Linked DNA regions of Alligator mississippiensis. The protein of the gene in region 1 interacts with the protein of each later gene in a pairwise test. Links are inferred from orthologs where the notes say so. Each region holds a gene or a part of one and is shown in the gene's direction. Other genes may lie near its edges.

The links.
Region 2: the proteins of SF3B4 (region 1) and HNRNPUL1 interact in binary tests that used the Homo sapiens proteins (3 or more experiments, as listed by UniProt). The link is inferred for Alligator mississippiensis from reciprocal best matches to the Homo sapiens genes SF3B4 and HNRNPUL1.

The regions. Positions count from the first base shown.
Region 1 is NC_081838.1:18,100,214-18,107,739, reverse strand, and holds the start of SF3B4 (splicing factor 3B subunit 4), read left to right. Parts: upstream 1-3,952; 5' UTR 3,953-4,029; coding exon 4,030-4,063; intron 4,064-4,603; coding exon 4,604-4,732; intron 4,733-5,563; coding exon 5,564-6,106; intron 6,107-6,653; coding exon 6,654-6,848; intron 6,849-7,526. Other genes in the region: MTMR11 (myotubularin-related protein 11), read left to right, coding at 1-57, 317-583, 1,076-1,225. UniProt on the Homo sapiens protein: Component of the 17S U2 SnRNP complex of the spliceosome, a large ribonucleoprotein complex that removes introns from transcribed pre-mRNAs.
Region 2 is NC_081838.1:1,511,215-1,519,284, forward strand, and holds the start of HNRNPUL1 (heterogeneous nuclear ribonucleoprotein U-like protein 1), read left to right. Parts: upstream 1-4,658; 5' UTR 4,659-4,742; coding exon 4,743-4,911; intron 4,912-6,758; coding exon 6,759-6,893; intron 6,894-7,310; coding exon 7,311-7,815; intron 7,816-8,070. Other genes in the region: phosphatidylinositol 4,5-bisphosphate 3-kinase catalytic subunit alpha isoform-like, read right to left, coding at 779-3,982.

The DNA.
Region 1 (7,526 bases):
AACCCCATCTACACTAGGGCCAGTGATGGGCACATGGCCCCGCCGGGCTGCAGCAAGGTGAGTGCGGTTGCCTCTGTGTGGGGTGGGTCCGGGCACTACAGGCAGCTCTGGGTGGGGGCTGTGTGGGCAGGCAGGCAGGCTAATGGTCACAGCACAAGGGACGAGGAGCTGGACAACTTGGTCTTCCTCCTGGTTGGGATGGGGAAGGAACCCAGGAGTCTAGCCTCGAGTCCCCTCTAGCCCTGCTGTGTCTTTGCTCCCTGCTATGTCCTGTCCCCCTTCCCAAAGCCCCAGCCCACGTCCTGCCTCTCTCCAGCTGAAAGCCACCCTGTCTGAGACTGGGGCTGTGTTCCTCCTGGCCCGGGGGGGCTTGGCCCCGCAACCCCACCTCTTCCCCTGGAAGAACGGCTCACTCGTCAAGAAGGGCCCGTGGCGGGTGCCATCCTCGGACAGCCTCAACGACCAGTGGGGCTGGCCCAGCAGCTGCCCTGCCTTGCCTGGAGCGGTCCTGGTGCCTGCCTGCACGGGGTCGGCGATCCAGCTCTGGAGACGATGCTACCTCCGTGGGAGCCCCGAGCGGCAGGTGAGGGCCAGGCTGGGCTCGGGGCAGCTCGGTGGGGGCGGTGCTCTGCCACTGCCACCTCCTGTAACCTCAGTCAAGTCCCTTTGCCCCTCCTGTGTTGATTCAAACCATTGAATCTACCATTCAAACCATTTGCCCTCATTGCAACAGGGTGGTGTGGGCCAAGGGGCTGGATCTAGGGTGGAGAGGGGAATGGTGGAGAAGGAAGCTGGAAGCCTTAGTATCCAGTGGGACTCCCCACGTTCCCCTGCAGCATCTTCAGGACGGGGGCTATGTACAGCACCGAGTGTGCTACAGCAATGCTTTTCATCAGCCCCTGGGTGTAGCCCAATGAGGGATAAATCGAGCTGGTCCTTGTCAGGTGCCCAGCGAGGTGGGTCTGGGCTCCGGCTGTTCCAGCCTCTCCATGCACTAGCTGATGGCACTAAGCTAGCCAGTACCCCAGCTGCCTGCCCTGACCCCATGCCTCTGCTTCTTTTCCCCCCTGCTCAGCGCGGCCTCTTCCCTGCAATGCTCACCGACCTCACCGAGGAGCTGGAGTTGCTTCAAGAGTGTCTGAACGATGGGCACTGGAGGGCCACGTCTCCCCCCAGCCCTGCGGAGTCGGAGGAGGCAGGAAGCCCCCTTTCCCCGTCCCGCTGATGGTGACCACTGCTGGGAGAGGATGTTAGGCAGCGGCTGGACTCACATGACCGACTTCCCCGGCGTTCAGACCTGTCCACCTGCATGTTGGCAAAGAAGCCAGTGCCCACAGGCTGTTGTGTGCAGCTCATCTTGGAGACGGGCACCCGGATACTGCTGGATTTTCGGTCCCAGGCCTGGAACTTTGCCCAGCCCTTGGCATCTACTGAGGGGTCGCAGATATGTTGCCCAGTTGTCCTGGTGACTGGGCATCTCCCAGCAACATGGCAGAGGGGACCCGCATCTCCAGAACGAGCCCTAGAGATGGAGCTCTCCCCTTGGTCCCAGATCCACGGTCATCCTGGCTCTGGGGACTGTGGAGGAGCCCTGCCCTGCTGCTAGTTAGCTGTCCCTTCCCTGCGGATCGTGGGTGGGTCTGCAGCACCTTCCACCCACCTAGCCAGGCTGCTTCTGCTGGGTTTTCCCAGTTGGACCCCTCAAAGCAGGCAGTAGTGAGGAATCTTTGGGGTGGGAGGACTGGAAGACCCCTGTCTCCCCTGCCCTAGAGGCTCGGATGCATTGTAAGCTGCTGTGTACAAGGGAGTAGGTTGGGGAGAGGGGGCGTGGTATTTGCTGTAATCCTGCTACCTCCAGAAGCACTTTTGAAGTCCCTGAGGAGTTTTACTGTAATGCGCAAAAAAGCGTCCGGAAACCCTGCTCGTGCAAACAGACACACAGTTGCACCACATGGAAAGGCAAAAAATGTGGCGTGTACATGCACTCCCCCAAGTCCAGGTTGCGGCTGCTGCTTTCTTGCAGAGGGACAGCAGCCGGATCTGGGATTGTGAGACCATCTCTTGCAGACTCTCTTCCTTGAGCTCTAGGTCCCATTGCATCAGCTGCACATCAGGCTGTTGCATGGGCTGGTGTGGATCTGGGACATCCTCTCTGTCCCCCATGGCCAGGATCAGACTCGACCCTGTGTTACCACCTGTTCTCTGCGCTGACAAGCTTGATGGGGTGGTGGTGCCTTACGGCTGGGAATCTTCCTGACCCCTCTGGTGAATTGGGCCTTCTCCAAAAGCCCATCCTGTCTGGGAGCTTCACAGCCCAGCAAGGGGAATCTTCCCAGCGGGGTGGATTCAGGCCCTTGCTACTAGGATTCAGGGGATGGCCCCACATGGGGAAACTTGCTGGAGTCTTTCAGGTCCTTCCAAACTCCCTGCAGCTCCCCCACTTCAGTATATGCAGACATTGCTGATGGTAGCTCAGGGCCAGTATGTTCCTCCCTGCTTTGGGATCTCTTTCTAACCCTATAAAATCTGCAGCAGAGGAAGGGAGGGGAAGGGGGAACAACCTCACTGCTGATTAGGTGTTTCTATTGCAGGATTTTTTTTCTCAAGGCCCTGGCACAGTTATCAGTAACACATTTTGTTTAAAGCTATTTGTATTATTTTATTTTTTTAAAAATAGCTCTAGCTATAATTAGTAACCGGCAGGAGATGGGTTTCCATTGGGCTTGAAGCACTTTAGGCAGAACCAGAGACTACACATGGATGAGCTTATTCACGGTGTGTGCACATGCACGTGCTTCTCGCCATCTATTTCACTTAATAGAAAGGATCCCTTTAATTTCATGGGTTAGAAAAGGATCGGTGCAAGGATCGAACGCCTCCCCTTCTCGCAGGGCTTGAAAGCAGTGGAGTTGCAGGATGGGCAGAGGCAGTCACAGCTGAAAGTCCAATGCCGCTTTGGAAAACACTGTGCCGGTTGCCTGAAAACGATGGGGAGCCGTGCGCACTTCATCTTAAAAACTCCTTCCAGCCCCATGAGAGGCCTGGGGGGAAGAGCTGAGTGTCTCCATCGCTCCTTAAAAAGATGCCGGCCGGGGGCCTGGGCTCTCCCTTGAAGCAACTCCTTTGGTTACTTCTTAAGAAGTCTTTGGGTGGCCGCGGCGTTCGGATCCCGCGTCCCCCGCGACGCGAGGCAGGAGGTACGTCGCGATCCCACCGAAGGGCATTCTGTTTTTTCCTAGTCTGTATATTTTTGTAGTGACGTTTCTATTTAAGAGCCCAATAAACGCAGTATTTTTAAAGCTACGGGGTGCGGTGGCGTGTTTGAAGGACATGTCCCAGTTCACCCCAAAAGGTCGCGCGAGAGGCTGCAGTCTCCAGGTGCCGTTCGTGAGGGCGGGCGAAATCATCTCGACGTCCCGTGTGGTGCCAAATCCCACGAGCCTCCGATTCAAGGGTATTATCAGCCAGTTAATCATTACAAGTAGGACTAACGACTGATAACCCTAATGAACATGCTGGGTAGATATCAAAGTACTTCACTCAGCAGCCGCTATCGGCATTTCCTCTTATAGGCGGGGAAACTGAGGCACAGAGCGGCCCTGCAAGGACTCCCCCTGCAAGCCAGGGCTATACCTGGGAATTGCGCCAGGTTTGAAACCGGCTGCTCTGCCCCTGGGCAAGTCTCGTCCTTTTTCTAGGCCTCAATTTGTTCACCTGCAAAATGGGTGCTGTGCTAGTTATTGGCAGCAAGCCTAGGCCCTGTTGTTGTTATTACCAGCGTGTCCCACAAGGCGTTAACATCAGCAGCAGCTCAGACACCTTCGCAAGCCGCTTCCGCCCGGCTCCAACATGGCCGCCCCGCGCGCGGCTGCAGCTCTCGCCCGATTCCAACATGGCCGCCTTTGGCCAACATGGCCGCTGGGGAGCGCACTTCCGGCTTAGACGGGAACCGGAAGTGGTGTCGGGAGGGGACGAGGTGAAGGGTCGGAGGTCGCCTGGCGGCGGCGGCGGCGGCTCAGCGCGGAGGAGATGGCGGCCGGGCCCATCTCGGAGCGGAACCAGGGTGCGACCCCCCGGCCGGGCCGGGCCCGTCTCGTCCCTCCCTGGGCGGCGGCGGCTGCCTTGCTGGGGGCGCCCCGGGCCAGGTCCACGTGTCGGGGTTTTAAGCCCCCAGCGCGCGGGCGCTGCTGCGGGCCGGGCCGGGCCAAGGCCTCTGGCCCCAAAGGGGCAGGCAGGGGTTTCCCCCCGGCGCGGGGCGGACTGGGGGGTTTGCGTGAGGACCCTGCGACGTGCTCGTCCGTGCTGCCGGGGGGGTCGCCGTGCACTGACCCCCTTCTGGGCCCTCGGGGACACGGGCAGTGTCCGACTGGGTCCATCCAGCCCAGTTAATGCAGCGCCAGGGCGGCCCTATAAGCCGCCCCCTTCTTGAACGTGGCCTTGCTGGCCCCAAATTTCTCCGCAGCGAGGGTCTGGGGTTTGCGTCACAGAGCGAGGAAGGTTTTGCCCTCGCTGTCGTGCTCTGAGCCCCCAGGACTCGGCCCCGGTCTCTGCCCCTGTTCGAGCCCGTGACTGACGCCCCTTTCTTTCGTCTCTCCCTGTCAAGATGCCACCGTCTACGTCGGCGGCCTGGACGAGAAGGTCAGCGAGCCGCTGCTGTGGGAGCTCTTCCTCCAGGCTGGCCCCGTGGTCAACACGCACATGCCCAAAGACCGGGTCACGGGCCAGCACCAAGGTGAGAAATCTCCATCGTGGTAAAACCTGGGTTTTATATGCTGGACGCGGCAAGGGAGAGGGGAACAGGGGGGAAAACCCTGATCGGACCCAGCTCGCTCTTCCTTTCAGCGTCTGCTCTCTGCTGCCACGTGACAGGAGACGGGGCAAAGTGGGCCTGTGGCCTCACCCAGTAACTGGCAGTTCTTGTGTGGGTCAGCCCCCGCTGGTAGGGAAAGGCTTTCAAGGACCTTGTCTTCCTAGTCATCTTCCATGTTGCTGGAGCAGGGAGTAAATGGTGCATTAGAAGTGAGACCTACGGTGGTAGCGCACCCGTGCTCAGAGAACAGGGCCCTGAGCTGCCAGGCAGAAGGACGGCTCTGAGGACTGACAGGAAGGGTGGCCCAGAAAGCTTTGAGACTACATATGTATTGTGCATGTTTCAGTTCTCGTAGTGCTTTAGTGCAGCAGCGGGTGTGCCCCTCCTGTTGCACTCAAATTAGTCTGCCACAAAGGTTTCCCCCTACTGAGTTAAACTGATACAACGTATCGGAGCAGGGGGTGAGAGAACTTGGGAAGAAAAAGATCCCTGGGTTATATGGTCATATATACATGCACTGAGGTGGATCTGACTGGCAGGTGGAGCAGAGAAGGTTTCCCATCAGCAGTTGGGATCAGGGTAGGTGTGAAGGGGGCACTTCCAGATGAGCCAACAGGAGAGAGAAACGCAGAGGAAGCAGGGTTTTGCTCTGATGGGGCCAGGGGTCGTGAGGAAGCGGAGAGCAAGGGGGAGAGGGGTTCGAGTGGGTCCCAGGGGCTGCATCCCATCCCAGTGAATTGCGGTGTGTTGTAGGCTACGGCTTTGTGGAGTTCCTCAGTGAGGAGGATGCCGACTATGCCATCAAGATCATGAACATGATCAAGCTGTACGGGAAGCCCATCCGGGTGAACAAGGCCTCGGCACACAACAAGAACCTGGACGTGGGCGCCAACATCTTCATCGGCAACCTGGACCCAGAGATCGACGAGAAGCTGCTGTACGACACCTTCAGCGCCTTCGGCGTCATCCTGCAGACACCCAAGATCATGCGGGACCCCGACACGGGTAACTCCAAGGGCTATGCCTTCATCAACTTCGCCAGCTTCGACGCCTCAGACGCTGCCATCGAGGCCATGAACGGGCAGTACCTCTGCAACCGCCCCATCACCGTCTCCTACGCCTTCAAGAAGGACTCCAAGGGCGAGCGTCATGGATCAGCAGCTGAGCGCCTCCTCGCTGCCCAAAACCCTCTCTCGCAGGCTGACCGGCCCCATCAGCTGTTTGCAGACGCCCCTCCTCCGCCGTCTGTGCCCACCCCGGTTGTCACATCCCTGGGCCCCGGGGTCACACCACCAGGTGAGGGAATCTCTGTGCTGTGCCCCCCGGCAGGGGGGGCGTTGCTTAGTTGGTGGCTGGGTGCAGTCTGTCACGGGTTTTTGCTCTCTGGGTTGGTATTGAAGCAATGCCAGGGCTTTGCTGGACCACAGGGAGGAATGTGGCAAGCGTGCCCATTGCTCTGGGTTGGCACTGATTTGTTGGCCGGGGTCTTGCCTACATGTGGGGCCCGGAACACAGCTCTGGGGGCTCAGAACGCCAGCCCCTTGCTGTGCTCGGGCCAGGGGGTTTTCAAGCCTGGTTCTTGACCCCACTTAGAAAGGAACGCTGCCTGCCCCCCAGGTGGTTGGCCATGTCACCTGCTCTGAGATGAGTATCTCTTGTACTGGACCAATCAATGCAAAGCTTTCCATCCCCAAGTTGATTGGCCCATCACTGGGATGCCTTGCTCCCCTGAGCCATGCCATTGGCTCTTGCGTGGCTGGGAAAGGCGGGGCCGCAGCATGCAGGCCTGTGGGGTGATGATTTGTGCAGGGGTAGTGCTCTCACTGATCCTTTGCTCCCTCAGGCATCCCACCCCCCGGCTCGTTCCCCCCACCGGTGCCACCCCCTGGAGCCATGCCCCCAGGAATGCCTCCTGCCATGCCCCCTCCACCCATGCCACCAGGCGCTGGTGCCCCTGGCCCACCATCTGGAGCTGCACCCAGTGGAGGACACCCACCGCACCCACATCCCTTCCCACCGGGCGGGATGCATCACCCAGGTAAGGTGTTGGGAACAGGCTGGGCTAGTGGACAGAGCACTGGACTGGGCGCTAATGCCACGTAACTCAGTTTCCCTTTTCTGTAAAATGGGCACAGTGACACTGGCTTCCTGCCTGATTCACTGAGCCCTGCTCTAGACAAAATTCCCATGCAAGAGTAAGTGCTTAGTGATTTATTAACGAGGGTGTTAATAATCCTGCTCTTCAGTTAGAGGGGGGGGATGTCTGAGCAGGGAAGCCAGGGTGGAGTGGTCTGGGTCAGTGTGTCTCATCGCTGAGCCTTGATTTTTAAAATTGCCTGCATTCTTTTGGAAATGGCTGGCTTCCATCAGCTGGATGCTTCGTGGCTTGGACTGAATGTGAATGTTAGGGATTGGTCCCTGGGAGCCTGGCACTGCCCCCATCTGGCCACCTGCACTGGGATTGGGGCCTGGCCACCCCCCCCCCAGCCCCCCTCAGGTGAGATTGGGCCCTTAGTTCAGGATCTCTTGCCAGATCCCCTGACCTTGGTTTCTGGTTCAAATGGGTGCCTTGCACACAGATGGTGTTTGCACCTGCAGCTGTGGTCCTGGGGAGCTGAAGGCCTAAGGCTGAACACTGCCCTTGTCTTCCTACCCCTTTTTTATGCTCTCAGCTCCCTCCAGAGGTAGCCAGTTAAGGCCAGTTGATCTGAAAACC
Region 2 (8,070 bases), about 17 Mb from region 1:
TCCTATGCTAGCCATCGCTTTTATACAAAAAATTATTGAAAGATTATTTTAATAAATAATACATAATACATTTTAATTAAACAATTTTAATAACTGGTCTTTAGGCTCCGAACACGCGTGAAATTGCCTGTTCAGTTCACGTTCAATTCAATCGAGCCCGAAGCGAACACCAGGATGTTTTATTTCCCCCTGTACAAATACGGCCCAGGGGAAAACCTGGTACGTATCGGGCGTATTTCACACTGCTTTCAAAAACCAAGCAGACAACAGCCCCCAGAACGAAAAGGTTCAGTTAAACCCCAAACAGGATGTGTGTGAATACAGTTAAAGGCACTGTGGTTCCCTCGCTATTATTTTTAACAGTTCTGCCCTTAAAACTCCTCTCCTTCCAGATACGCAGCATCTAAATAGCCAAGGGAAACGAGAAGTTCCCTTTCCACTCATTAGAAACGCGGTGTTGTCTCCACCTCCCGAACCAGAGCTCTTGCTGTAGCACGTCACGGACGGCCTCTGATGCTGGCACTCTTCCTCCTCCTGCCAAATGATCCTTTAATCAAAAAACCAGAAACAGGAAAAACTTCCAAACCCTTTTGTTGGGTTTAAAGCATAACATGAAGTTAAAGAGCCTACTAAACGTGTGTGAAGCCCTTTGGAAAACTGCCTCTGTTCTTGCTATAACTTCTAACGTCATTCGTGGTTTGTGTGACTCCAATCCAACAGGTGTTAGCGGCGCAGCCCTAAAAGCTGGCTATTGGTTTTGGTCCTCTTTGCTTTCACTTCAGTTCAAGGCATGTTGCTTTATCGTGTGGAAGACCCAGTCCATTTTTGTCGTCCAGCCGCCGTAGTGAGCATCGTTCATCTGTTTTGTGAAATAGTCCAGAGCTTCCTGCTCAGTTCTGTCCAAGGCGAGCGTCTTTCGAACGTAAGCAATGTCATCAAAAGACTGCAATTCCGGTATGCCCGAGCCGAGCATCATGGAGAAGAGATTGATGAAGAGATTGGCCTGCTGCCGAATTGCTAAGTAAGCTTTATAGCACATCTCTTGAAACCTTTCAAACTCCCGCGTTTTGGTACAGTCTTGGTTTCCTTTACTAATCACGAGTAAGAAATCTTGCGTGAGGACAAATGGCACGCGCTCTCGCTTGTAGCCAAATTTTTTCTTCTTGTGATCCAGGAAGTGCCCAAAATCGATGTGAAACAGCTGCCCGTCATCCTTCACCATGATGTTGCTATTGTGACGGTCACCGATGCCCAGTATGAAGGTAGCGACGCAATAGCCGGCGCAGGAGCACGTGAACAAGTCGATCGCTGCGTCGTACGCCGCTCCTTGGTTCTTGTCTTTGAGCCACTGATGTAGCGTGTGGCTGCTGAACTGCAGCGCGCCCTTTAGGCCTCCTTTGCACTGAATCTGCATGATTGTATAAGAGCTTCTGACCACCTCGATAAGGCCCACGCGGTCGCCGATAGACAAACAGCCATAAGGCAGCAGCCGAAGATCAAGACCTTCCTTTTGCCAGATGTTTTCCATAATTCGAATAATCTGAAGCGTTAGCATGTCCTGACGTAAGTCATCCCCGTTTTTAAAGATGATCTCATTGTTCTGAAACAACAGTTCAGCCATAATATCTGGGTTGTCCCAGTTTAGCCAGAGAGGCCTTCTTGCAGAGGACATAACCCTGCACTCCTCAAGCCTGAGGTTCCCTAGCCGAAGGGCAGGGTTAAGAGGAGAGATAAAATCTTGCAAAGCTTCCATGAAATCTGGTCGCCTCATGTGTTCAACGAGAAACTTCATTTGTGCCTTCGGTGCTTCATCTTTCTTCTCCTGCTTGAGAATATCAGTAAGGTGAGTTAGTTTCTCCATGGCTTCCACCTGCCTGCGCAGGTGCTTTAGGTACATCCCGCATGCGCGACAGTAGGACTCCAAAAGCAATCCAAATCTCTGCCTCACACTTGTATTGTGCATTTCAGACTTTAAATGCCAAAAGAAAAAATGTCCTATTGTTTGATTGGTCAGTGCTTTCTGGAGCAAAAATCTCCCCAGCAGATTATCTAAGTATTGCTCGTATTTCAGAACCTGTACCAGCTGGATTAAGTACTGAGACAGCTGGTCATCGGTCAAGCACTTCTCCAAACACTGAATGGCAAACGATCGCACCACAGGATCAGGATAATTACAGTCCAAAAGCTCCATTGCCTGTTCTGCCTTGATTAGGGGCCAGTCTTTTATCAGGCAATACATCTGGGCTACTTCATCTCTCGAGTTCCATTTCACGGACAAAAGCAGCTTGGGCAGAATTTCTGGGATGTTTCCACAACTATATCTGTGGCTCCAAAGAAAGTCCTTCTCTTGCTCAGTGATTTCGGAAAGCGGGTCTCTTGCGCTAAGTGCACGGAGTTGTTCTTTGTCGCTTTCTCTTACTTCAAAACCTTTAGCTAGCCTGTTAGTCAGCTCCATACGGCTGTAGTTACACCCGAGTTCCAGAGAGACAGCCCTGCTGGCATGGTCTTCAATCACCGTCATGTCTGGAAACTTGACAGGGCCGCCAAAACTATCAAACTCCAGCTCTAGACACGGAGTTTCCTTGCTTGGATTGGACCCAGTCATGCCAATAGGATTCAGCAGATCTTCCAGCCCATGTGGCACTGGCCACAGACTCAAAGCCATTTTCCCCGATACGAGAGTGTGCGTGTAATCAAACATGTTCACGTTTCCCCAAGCCAGTGGGCAATGTTCCTCTTTCGCACCCCTCCTGCCTTTGACAGAGCAGAGGGAGAGGCAAAGGCGAGCGGCACGGGGGAGATCAGGAACGTACAGGTCATACGACAGCCATTCGTTCCATCTCGGACGGCAACAAGGCACCCTTCGAGTTTTCACGTTGTCGCATAACGGTTCACCCCCGTGATAGATACCCGTTCGGACGTATATCTTGTCCACGTCTCGTGTATTTACATTGACGTACGTGGCACAGAAGATTCTTATTCTGAGACCACTGTTTATAGACCAGAGGGATTTGGCGGAAACTTCTGCATTCGTGTACGGGGTAGGCGTAGAAACACCTCTGGGACAAGACGGGATGGTAAAGCTATCCGACGGCAGCCGGGCATACAGGCTTTCTTTGGACATCAGCATCAGGTTGGGCACGAGGCCAACCATGATGCAGTTTCTGATGTGCTTATACTGGCTGAGAGGATACCTTTCTAGCAAGTATTCATCACAGCCGCACACTTTTAAAACGTACTTATCCTGGTACTTCAAGACGCGGCGTTTCAGTTGCTCAGGTGACAGCGACGCGCTTCGTGTTTGCGCCCTGACTGCTTCGGCGATCGCGTGCTCGGGCACGCAGTCATGGCTGATTTTTACGGGGTATTTCTGCTTGTTATTCAGGGAGGCTACGACCCATACGGCCACTACCATTTGCCCTTCGTCTAGCTTGTCGTACAGGGGCCGGGGCAGCTCAGGCGACGCGTGGACGCGGGGAGGCCAAGCGTACAAAGCCCGGCTGCGAGGCGCGTCGGCCCCTCGCCGCTCGGCGGCCTCCCGGCAGACGTTCAGGACGTTCCTGCGGAAGTCCCGCACTTCCGGGTCCCTCGACGCCTCCAGCTCGCGGACGGGCGTGCCGACGGCCAGCCCGATCTCCCGGTTCAGCATCTTCTCGTCCCGGTCGCCGGCGGGTTCGACCACTTGGAGAAAGGGCCGAAAGAGCCGCAGGTCGCAGAGCCGCCGCGCCTCGTCGAAAAACTCTTCCCGGGCGGCGTCCTGCGTGACGCCCACGAAGACGTAGCAGGCGGCGTCGCGGAGGAGGTGGGGAAGCGGGTATTTCCGGGCCTCGCGGAAGAGCCGGCGCTTCACGGACAGCAGCGAGGCCTCGCGGGGGCTCTCCAGGGGCACCAGCATCCCGTTGGGAAGGAGGCACTCGAGGAGGACGGTGGGCGGCATCGTGCGGGCGCCCCACCAGTCCCCGCAGGAGGGCACGGGCAACATGGCCGCCCTCTGGCAACCACCTCAGGACTGGGGCCGCGTGCCCTCGTCGCCCACAATGGCGCCCATGGCTCTCAGCCAAGGAGAGTGCGGCTGACAACGTGTCAGCAGGGCTGCACCAATAGGGAGCAGGCTAACACCCCGCCTCAGCCCTGGTTGCCAGGGCTCCGCCAATGGGAAAGGGGCAAGGAAAAAAAAAAACAACTTTAACTCGTGCAGGGCTCGGCCAATGGGAGGCACCCAAACAGCCAATAGGAGGCGTGTTAGCACGCTGGCCCCACCCACCAGGCGCCTCGCCGCAGCTCAGCCAATTGGAGGCGTGCTAACACTGGCCCCGCCCACCCCAGGCGCCTCCGCGCCCTCCAGCGCAGCAGAAGAGCGACGCCTGCTGCGATTGGTCCGCTGCCAGCCTCTTTCGCTGTCAATCCCGCCCCGCCGCTTCCCCCCAAGCGTCACCCGGGTTCCAGCCAACCGCCGGGCCCGTAACAACCCCGCGGCCGCCCCGGCCCAATGGGGCACCCCGTGACAAACCGAGAGCGAGCGGGAGAACCGCGGGCGGCGGCCGGGAGCCAATGGCGAGCCGCGTGACATGGCGGGCCGGCGCGCGGAGCCAATGGCGGCGCGCGTTGCAAGGCGGCCCGGCGCGGGGAGGGAGGAGGAGGGCGAGGGCGGCCATTTTGAGCCGGGGCCGCGGCGGGGGCTCCATGGCCGGGCGGCGCGCGGAGTGACGGGCCGGGCCAGGCCGGGCCGCGGGGCCGGGGCCATGGACGTGCGGCGGCTGCGCGTCAACGAGCTGAAGGAGGAGCTGGGCCGCCGCGGCCTGGACACGCGCGGCCTCAAGGCGGAGCTTGCCGAACGGCTGCAGGCGGCGCTGGAGGCCGAGGAGGCGCGACGCGGGCCCGGCGGCGGCGACCCCGCGCCCGACGGACACTGTAAGGGGGCAAGAGCCGCTCCGCCACTGGCCCCGCTGCACCTCCGTGGTGGGACCGGGGCCCGCGGTGCAGCTCCGCCATTGGCCCCCTGGTGCAGCTCCGTGCTGGGGACCGGGCCCCCTGGTGCAGCTCCGTCATTGGCCCCCTGGTGCAGCTCCGCGCTGGGGACCGGGCCTCCTGGTGCAGCTCCGCGCTGGGGACCGGGCCCCCTGGTGCAGCTCCGTCATTGGCCCCCTGGTGCAGCTCCGCGCTGGGGACCGGGCCCCCTGGTGTAGCTCCGTCATTGGCCCCCTGGTGCAGCTCCGCGCTGGGGACTGGGCCCCCTGGTGCAGCTCCGTCATTGGCCCCCTGGTGCAGCTCCGCGCTGAGGACTGGGTCTCCTGGTGCAGCTCCACTATTGGCCCCTGGTGCATCTCCGTGGTGGGACAGGCCCCCTGGTGCAGCTCCACCATTGGTCTCCTGGTGCATCTCCCCTGGTGGGGGGAGCTCCCCAGCGCTGCTGTGCTGTGCCCCCCGCCCTGCTGCACCTCCAGCAACAAGCTCTGACTTGCAAGTCTGTGGTGGGGGCCAGGTACCCCAAAAGGGTCACCCGCGCTCTCTTCCTGTGGGCCTTGGCCACCGGGCCCCCAGGCTGCCCTGCGGGACAGGAGCCGGGGCAGCCCACGGCATCGCGGCTCTGCTCCGTCACCCTGCTGCAGAGGGCCGGCCCGGCGGACCTGCCCGGGCATGCGGTGGGGATTGTCCTGCTCACGTTCTGTCTGCCTCCCCCATCCCGTAGCGGAGCTGCCTCCCGGCCGAGCTGGTTTTGTGCCGTGGGAGTGCTGAACCCACTCAAGACCCTGGGAGCCAGGACTTTTTTGGGGGCCCCCCCAGCCTTAGCTGCAGCAGTGGTGGGACGCGACACGCTGCCTGCCTGCACAGAGGAGCGCACGCCGGCCTCAGGGGCCTTGGCAATAGGGGCTCGCCGGCTGCATGGCTCGTTTCCATACGGAGCCGTGCGGCTCCGGGAGGGGAACGCCAGGGCAGGTCCTCCGGAGATGAGCCCGGGGGTGCTGAGGTGCCCCGTTTGTGTCCTGTGCTGGTCTCCAGGCACCTTTGGGGCGCCTCAGCTCGCGGGTGTGCCCTCCGGGCTTTGTGGAGGAGGTGGCGGCGTGAGGCAGAAAGTTCCCCGGGGCGATGGATCCGACGGCTCTGCTTGAAAGTCGGGTGCCTGCCCAGAGTCCGGCGGGGGGGCTGCATGTGGCCCCCCGGTGCAGCTCCGCGCTGGGGACCGGGCTCCCCGGCACAGCTCAGCTGTTGCTCCTGTCTCGAGCCGGGCTGGTTGTGCTGGGAGGTCTGTGCGCTGGCAGCCCCTCGAGGCCAGCGTTGGTGTGTGTCCCGCGTCTCCGTCCCCTTTTCCTGCCGTGGGGAGCCGATCACCCCCTGGCTGCTTTGGTGACATTGTGTCTCTGCGCCGCCCCCCCCACCCCGGCACCTCCCTCCCGGCGGATCCCTGGTATCGGGGGGCCTACACCCCTCACTGCTGCCTTGCTGGATGCTTTGCTTTGCTTGCAGGTTTTTTGGGTCTGGTGGGTTTTGGCCACACCAGCTGGGGGAGCAGGCAGGCAGCTGGATCCTGCCTCTGCTGGGTTTCCCCTGGCTCCCAGCCCTGATGAGCATCACTCCCAAACTTCCCTGCCCGGAAACACCCCCAGGGACCTCGGTGATGCCTGGCCGGTCCCTTGTCCTGCCAACCGCACCGCGCTCTGTGCTGGAGCCTCCAGTGCAGCTCCACGCACCCCGCCCCAGTGAGCGGGACCCACAGCTCCCTACCGGTTCCCGTCTTAAGCCACGTCTCTGTTGCGCAGACGACATCGACAGCAACACTCACCAGAGCGACCACCAGGGCTACCAGTCCTTTGAGCATGGCGCCGTCAGGCAGGAGAATGAGTCCAGCTACGAGCGGCGGCCAACAGAGACGGAGCATCCTGGCCTGCACCCAGGTAGGGACCAGCCCGCCAAGGGGCCTTTGTTGGCGGGAATTGGTGGGGCGGGGGGTCCCACAGGTGCCTGGCCCCTGCCCCTGGGAGTCTCCTTGGCCATGGGGAGATGTGGGCTGGGTCCTGCCTGGCAGCTGCCCCATGGTTCCCTGCCCCCAACTTGGCACCTTTGAGAAGCCTCCACTTAGGGCTTTCGAGTGTTGGGTTCTCCAGTATCCCTTGAACTCAGCACCAGCCCTGCCTGGCCCTTGTTCCCTGAGCTTGCCCTGCCCACCCCCCTGCAGCAGTTTGGAGAGACCCCCCCCCACCCCCCTGTCACCCTCAAAGACCTCACTGAGTGTCTGAGGCTGTCGAGGCATCGCTGTCAGGCTGCACCCAGCCTCTCCAGCCCCCTGACGCCGCCTGTTTTTCTGTGCACAGAGATGAAGTCGGAAGTCAAGCAGGAAGACCCCACCCCCGGCTACAACCTGCCTCCCCCCAGCTACAACGCCTCAGCCCCCAGCTACAACATACCACCCCCCGGTTACAACCCACCCCCTTCTGGCTACAGCATGCCCCCCTCTGGCTACAGTGCCCCTGCCCCTGCCTACAGCGTGCCCCCAGCTGGCTACACTGCACCTGCTCCTGGCTACGGCGTACCCCCACCAGGCTTCAGCGCCCCTGCTCCTGGCTACAGCGCCCCTCCTTCTGGCTTCAGCGCCCCACCGGCCAACTACAGTGCACCTGCCCCTGGCTACAGCGCGCCCCCAGCGAGTTACAGCACCCCTGTACCAGCCTTCAACGCGCCTCCCACCAGCTACAGCACGCCTGATGCCTCCCAACCCAGGCCACCCCAGCAGCAGCCACCACCACAGCCACAGGGCCGTAAGCGGCCATACGAGGAGCCGCGAGGCAGGGGCTACTATGAGCACCGGGAAGACAAGAGGTGAGGGGGGTCGCGGGCTCTCAGCCCGGTCCAGGGGTTCCTGCACTGGGGAAGCTGGGGAATGTGTACCCACCCCCCAGCTTGATTCCAGCTCCAGTTGCCACTCACTCCATGCCTCAGTTTCTCACCTGTCTGCAGTGCTACCAGCCTCTGTGCAGTGCCAGGGCATCAGCTGGCATGACACCAGGTGCTGCCAACAGCCTGGCCTCAGCTCTCATCGGAGCCGTTTCCCCCCCCACACCCCCTGACCTGGGG